2 linked regions of the Danio rerio genome follow. The protein of the gene in region 1 interacts with the protein of each later gene in a biochemical or structural test. Links are inferred from orthologs where the notes say so. Each region holds a gene or a part of one and is shown on either strand. Other genes may lie near its edges.

Region 1 (3,830 bases):
AACAGGACAAGCGTTACCTCTGTGAAAAACTGAAAATGTCAAAAGGTGGCTCGGAAAAAGGTAGTCTATGGAATGCAGTGTTCATTTGTGCATCCTAAAACTCGACACTTAAAATGCCTCTAGTCGCTGACATTATCTTTAGCAGATAGAGCAACATACCCCTATATATATTCCTTTAAAGCACCAAATATGTCCCAGGAGCTATGTTTTTTGGCAGTTTTTGTTTTCGTCAATCCACCAGAGGCCGCTGTGTATGCTTTTACAGATCTCAAATTTCTCTCACCAGTGCCATTTGCGGCTGCTGTTCTCACGTAAATCCACCAGAGGCCGCTGTGGACTGACTCACTGACTTAATGAATGACTGACTGACTGACAGATCGACTTACCCTCCTCCTTCCCTAAACCCAACCAATAGTGTTTTCAAAAGCACCAATTGACTTGCCCACCCACTTCTCAAAACCCAACTGACAGTGTTTTAAAAAGCAAAGCAATCCAAAAAAAAGAAAAGCCCTCGCTTTATTTTTATCACGTTTTCAGATTTTACCACATTTTCACCCTGTTGTTTATTTGTTATTTTATTTTTTAGCTTTTGATTTTGTCCTAACCGCTAAGACCATTTTTCACCGGACTCGAACCCTATTGTAGTGGTTAACTCATATCAGCATCTAAAGTCCACCAACGTACAGAGCTAGCTAACTGGACAAACCAGTAGCAGTGGGAAAGCCATCCATATGGAGGTAAATTCACGCTAAAGTTAAGTCAAGTCATCTTTAATTCTATATCACTTTTACAATGTAAATTGTGTCAAAGCAGCTATACATGAATGTAGAAAAAAGGATTAAAAAGTCATTACAATTATTTGGATAGTTTTACCCTGTCAGATAGGAAGCAGAGTGGTGGTAGAATGCTGTTGTAGTTCAATAAAAAAAACTGATTCACCAACATCCTGAACAACATTTAAAGCATCCTACCTGTGAAAGGTTTCCCAGTGATATGGATCCAGTGTGATGTACATCTGATCAGTGCTGAAGAGCTTCTCTCCATCCTTCATCCAGATAATCTCTGGTTCACTCAAACCCTCAAAGGCACAGCCCAGCCGGACCATGTTACCCTGAGTCACCGTTTGGTTGGAAGGGTTTTTGGTGAAGCGTACCCCTGGAAGATAAAAAAATTGACATCCTTCTAATGCAAGAGAACACAAATATTATAAAAGACAAATCAACTTTACATAATGAGATCAATTTACATGGGCAATGACATGGCAGCAACTAGATATGCATTCAAGTATGTAGACGTCAACAAGACAATCTGCTGAAGTTCAAAACAAGCATCAGGACGTGGAAAAATTTAAGACTTAAAGGCATAGTTCACCCAAAAATGAAAATGTGCTCACTATTTACCCTCCCTCAAGTGGTTCCAAAACTTTGACATCCATAGTAGGAAAAACAAATACTATGAAAGTCAATTGTTACAACTTTCAGCTTTCTTCAAAGTGTCTTCTTTTGTGTTCAACAGAAGAAGGAAAGAAAAAAAATGGATCAAGTGAAGGGAGAGTAAATGATCAAAACTTTTCATTTTGGTTGAACTGTCCATTTTAATGACTACGAAAGTGGCATGGATGTTGGTGCAAGGTGATCTTGTATGAGTACTTCTGAAACTGCTGATCTACTGGGGTTTTCACCCATAACCACCTCTAGCTTTACAAAGAAAAGTCTTGATGTCACAGATCAGAGACGAAAGGCCAGGGGCCTTGTGTACAAAGACTTGCGTTGAATTAATACTAAAACATTGCGTACGGACAAAGCTGTAAATGTGCATACGCAGTAAAAAAGTCAGATGTATGAACTTAAACACTGTGCGTGAAATCCGACGCATATTCTGTTTGTACATCCGAATTAACGTGAAACTGAGTGCAAGTGCATGAGCGCAAGACCCCTCCCTGCCTCCTCCCCCCTACAAATATGGTAATGACTCTACTTTGGCAAAACCAAACAAAAAAAGCAATGGCGAAAGCAAGCATGAAGAGAAACTTCACAGAATGTGAATTGAAGGTGCTCCTATCGGAGGTAGACCAGAGAAAAACGTTGTTATTTGCAAGTTTGTCCTCCGGAATTAATAACAGAGTGGGAGAGTTTAGCTGACGCGGTTAACGCAGTGGGGTCTGAACATCGTCCTGTGAACGAATTAAAAAAGAAATGGTCCAATGTAAAGGTGCAGGTTAAGAGGAGAACAGCAGCGCACCGTCAAAGTGTGGACCGAACTGGCAGGGGAACAGGGGATGCTGAACTAACACCCTTTGAGAAAAGAGTTGCCTCAATTGTGGGTGACACTTTACTGTCTGGAATAGTATCCGTGTCTGTGGGAGACACAGATGTATTAGAGGAACACTTTGTTAGGACGGTACAGCAGCACCCTACTGCTCTTATCCAGGCAGAGCCACCGGCATTTCAGCTGCCCAATCGCCCGCTCTACAACTGACTATAACTGACTATACAACTGTGTGAGTAGGGGCATTATTGTTTCTGCACTCTTGGTCAGTTTGTGGGTTGTTAAGTGGGGTTAACAGCCATGTCTTTAAAAAATAACTGCAGTCTCCTGATATGCAATTTAATAATTACGCTCAATAAAATAAAATATAATAAACTTAGCTGGAATAATATCTTTAAATACATCACTCACCAAGAAGCCACCCATCACGCACCCTGCCACCTTAGTGCCTCATCCCAACCATGCTGTTTGTAAGGATAAATGAATCATGGGTTGACCCAGGCCACCTTGCCACAATATTTGTTAAGCGCATCGGAGCATCACATATTATTTGCACATTTATTGAATGGAATTGTTTCCGATTCACGTATGCAAATTCGTCTTCAGATGGCACCTTTATGGCAATGTGCATGTAGTCGATCGCTCCGATTACATTGGGAAAACCGGCGATCGCTGCAAATTGCACTTTAATATTTGACTGGTCAACTGCATAGTATGGAAACCTCATATACCTGCTAGACATGATGATCCTGTTCCAAACAGCTGGCATTGCACGGCTCAAAGACGACTGGCTTAACTCTGAGTAGTCTGCCAGTTCCCTTTAAAAAGAACCAGTTGCCAGGATACTTTGTTGGTGCGGTACTTTGTAGTGTGCACTTTAACATAATTGCCTCTAGGAGTTGCCAATGAAAAAAAAAAACAAACAAACACAAGAAACACACGTACGCCAGACATGAAGTTGGCGCAGAATAACGCACACTCACGTTAATTTTATCGTTAGTAAATTCAAATGTGAGCGTAAAATCTGGCGTTCGCAAAGTTTTAATATATGAGGCCCCAGATGATTTGAAGAAACATCAGTAACTGTAACTCAGTTACAAACAGGTTCTGTAGAGAGCATTTCTGAACACAAAATGCATCAATACTTTAAGCTATCTATCTATCTATCTATCTATCTATCTATCTATCTATCTATCTATCTATCTATCTATCTATCTATCTATCTATCTATCTATCTATCTATCATCCATTAAGACCATGCATCAAATGTTTTATGAAATATTCACACACTACACAGGCTCACTCAGAAAATGTGCCCAGGACTACTTTTCTGTGAACAGAAAAATATGTGCCATGGGGTGCATAATGGTTGCATTCTGTGTGTAAAACACACACTATGAGGCTTTTCTGACATGATTGGTTTGCTCAGTAGCTCACTGTGTACGGTGCCAGATGAGGGAGGCAGAGCGGAGTGGCCCATGATTCTAGACTGATGATGGTTCCAGAAACCAGGTAAGACAAAACCCAAAAAAGAGCAGTGAGATACCATTGTAAAAGCATGC
Region 2 (3,830 bases), on another chromosome or scaffold:
ATTTTTACTGTTAAAGATGGCATATCAGTCAAAATAGGACACATGAGCTCATGTATTGGCCAAAATCTGGACCTTTGTCAGTGAGGGGTGGGTCTTTCGAACCATATGAACCCCCCCGCTCATTTATTGTGAAGTGTTTCCCATTTATTTGATATTATTAGAAGCATGTTCTGAGAGATGTTCTGATTGGTGCAGATCTCGGTGGAGGAGCAGGGGCGGAGCCTGGTCATTAAGATTGACAGGGAGGCGGTGATGAAGATCGCAGTAAACGGAGACCTGTTCACTCTGAATAAAAACATGCACGAGCTGAACCTGACGGTGGGGGGAGTTCCCTTCAGAGACGATGGGCTGGTCAGCAGAGTGAGTTTAACACACACACACACACACACACACACAATGAACAAATCACAAATTCATTCATTCTCCTTTGGCTTAGTCCCTTATTCATCAGGGCTCGCCACAGCAGAATGAACCACCAACTATTCCAGCACATATTTCACACAGCGGATGCCATTTCAGCTGCAACCCAGCACTGGAAAACACCCATACACTCTCATTCACACATACACACACACTTATAGGCCAATGTAGTTCATCAATAGTGCATGTGTTTGGACTGTGGGGGAAACCGGAGCACCCGGAGGAAACCCACACCAACACGGGGAGAGCATGCAAACTCCACACAGAAACACCAACCGAGGCTTGAACCAGCCACCTTTTTACTGTGAGGTCACAGTGCTAACCACTGAGCCACTGTGATGCCCCATTTCTGATGTCATGTGTGCTTTGATTGAGCTGAGTTACTGTAGTGGGTCTGTGTGATTATTATCTGTGTGTGTGTTCCAGGTTAACCCACGGCTGGACGGCTGTATGAAGGACTGGCGCTGGTTAACCGGTGAGGACACGTCCATTCAGGAAACCATCCGGCACAATGAACGCATGCAGTGTTACGCCGTCGAGGACCACAGCGCCTTCTACCCCGGACACGGGTTTGCATACTTCAACCACAGCCATGGTGAGTGCTGGAGGTGCACACTGCAAATAATGCTCTCTTACTCAGAGTCTTGGATCTGTTTCTAATCCAAATATCTCCAAATTCTGAAATCAAGAAGCATTTTCTAGACAAGCAAAACAAAAAGTCTTGTTTTCAGAAATATTGAGTTAAGATGAAGTGAGTTTTTCCTTCAAACAAGCTAAATAATCTGCCAATGAGGGAAGAGAAATAACCTCGTTTTTCCTTTGCCATTGTAATGAGTCGGGATGACGGAGGTGAAGATCCACGTGCAGCTTTATATTTATATCTAGTTTGTATAAAGTGTTTTATTTTAGAATTGATTTTAAATGTATTTTTCTGTTTGATGTTAGGGGTGTGCAAGTGCATTCTGAAATATAATTTAATTTAATATTCATTCATATGCATGTGTTATTAACTGTTTTTGTAGCACATTTCATTCATTCATTCATTCATTTTCTTTTTGGCTTAGTTCCTTTATTAAGACTTACGGAATGAACCGCCAACTATTCCAGCATATGTTTTACGCAGCAGATGCCCTTCCATCTGCAACCCAGTACTGGGAAACACCCATACACTTGCACACACTCACATACACTACGGCCAATTTAATTAATCAGTTCCCCTATAGCGCATGAGTTTGGACTGTGGGGGAAACCAGAGCACCCGGAGGAAACCCACACCAACACGGGGAGAACATGCAAACTCCACACAGAAACACCAACTGACCCAGCCGAGACTCGAAGCAGAGACCTTCTTGCTGTGAGGCGATTGTGCTACCCACTGTGCCACCGTGCTGCCTGTAGCAGATCTGTCTATCAATAACTTGTTTATCATTTTAATGATGTATTTTATTGTCCTCACAGGAGACAATCAGACGCTCAGTGTTCATGTGACTCTGCGTGCCGCATCCTCCATGGGGGTTCTGTTCGCTCTGGTTCGTCAGGACAGAGTCCCGTTCTCCATCTCTCTCTCCGACTATCATCCAGGGACCCTCCAGTGGACCAAGGTGTGTGTGTGCATGAGTGTGTATGTGATTGCGTGTGTGTGTGTGTGTTAGTGATGGGAGCTTTGAAACGATTTAATTAGTTGCTTCGCAAAGTGATTCAGTTTTGAGCATTCGAAATAGCAAATGCATGGCGACATCTGCTGGTCAAAACCATGTAAATGCAACAAAAACACACATTACATCAATTAGAATTGACTTTTTCAAATTTTATTTATTTATTTATTTTATTTAAATATTGTACATATTAAAGGCGACCTATTATGCAAAAATCCCTTTAAACCCCAGTGAAGTGTCTGCAGCAGTGTGAATATCTCCAGCAGCCTCCAATGGTCAACAGTAATGAAGTGTATTTGTTCTAATCAGATGAAAACAGTCTGCAGAAACACTGTGATTGACATTCTCCCTTTGTACGTGTCATCAAAGGGGATAAGCCCCGCCCACTAGTGTCCATCTCTCCATCTCATTAGCATGTCCAGCAGCCCTGAGTGAGAAGCAGTCGTCTGTCCATTCGCCATTAGAGTGTTTGAGCTGCTGAAGATGATGTCAGCATAGACTAAGAGGAGATTTGTAGCTCCGTCCTCTCAGAGCACAATCTCATTTGCATTTAAAGCAACAGTCACCAAAACGCCACAATTAGGATCAAAGCCTGAAGGGGTCATTTTCAGAGAGCTGGAGAACATTATCTGTGTGCTCAAACTTCACTAACTTCAACATCACAATCTACATACTCTAGAGACGTCAGAGATGCATTTTACATCTTGTAAAAGGGGCAGAATATGTCGTCTTTAAATTCAAAGTAACCTATAGATGCACTTAACTTATCATCTAATACCATCATTAAATATTAACACACATTAAATGTGTTCTTTATCAATTTTCAAGGCTTATATATGGTTTGTTTTATGGTGGGCTATTCTAAACAAGACAAGAGACTAATAAATGATGTTCCTTTTCATAATACATTAAAACATCTACAAACTCATAAATGGAAATGAGGTCAGGGAAAAACTATTAAACATGCTAAACTATCAGCCTTAAAGACTATTAAAGATGCCACAGGGGTGCGATCTGAGTGAAGCCGCATGATTATTGTGGATTTTATAGGATTACACTGATCGCCCCCTAGTGGAGAATCATCACATTTTCTGAATATTTCAAAACACTTCTGATATAACAAAGCCATTTTTACTGAAGTTATGTCCACTTGATGTGTGCTCTGGAACCACTGATTTGAACAAAAGAAATGTTAAAGGTTTGGAAGTTTGATGAAGCTGCCTTCACTAGTGTGTATCTGTGTGTTTGAGATGCTGCAGTGAGGTGTGTTCTGCTGGTCTGAAACTCTTCTGTTGATCTGTAACCCTCAGCATGTACTGGTGTCGTTGGGTGATGTGGTTGTGGGCAGTGTCCCAGTAAACCTCAGCGATGGACAAACACACACTGTGAATGTGACAATGTCCGGCAATGACTCCGTGCTGGAGGTGGATGCTCAGCTCGCTCAGATGGAGATGATGGAGGGTGTTGACTCTCTGGATCTCACATCCTCATACAGCACCTTCATAGGGGGCATCCCAGGTAATGTCTCACATTGGTCTGGTATGGTCTCACATCCACCTCGCAATAGTGTCATAACAATCCCACATATTATTATGTTTCTGAAAGTTTGACATTTGTCTCAAATAAGTCTCAAATTAGTCTCATATGGTCTCAAATCAGCCTCGCAATGGTGTCATAACAATCCCACATATTATTATGTTTCCGAAAGTTTGACATTTGTCTCAAATAAGTCTCAAATTAGTCTCATATGGTCTC

Evidence for each region.
Region 2: the proteins of tyro3 (region 1) and gas6 form a complex in vitro, tested with the Homo sapiens proteins (2 studies listed by BioGRID). The link is inferred for Danio rerio from reciprocal best matches to the Homo sapiens genes TYRO3 and GAS6.

The regions. Positions count from the first base shown.
Region 1 is NC_133192.1:11,697,333-11,701,162, reverse strand, and holds part of tyro3 (tyrosine-protein kinase receptor TYRO3 precursor), read right to left. Parts: intron 1,156-3,830; coding exon 972-1,155; intron 1-971. UniProt on the Homo sapiens protein: Receptor tyrosine kinase that transduces signals from the extracellular matrix into the cytoplasm by binding to several ligands including TULP1 or GAS6. Regulates many physiological processes including cell survival, migration and differentiation.
Region 2 is NC_133176.1:590,409-594,238, reverse strand, and holds part of gas6 (growth arrest-specific protein 6), read left to right. Parts: intron 1-195; coding exon 196-360; intron 361-846; coding exon 847-1,015; intron 1,016-1,878; coding exon 1,879-2,021; intron 2,022-3,385; coding exon 3,386-3,593; intron 3,594-3,830. UniProt on the Homo sapiens protein: Ligand for tyrosine-protein kinase receptors AXL, TYRO3 and MER whose signaling is implicated in cell growth and survival, cell adhesion and cell migration.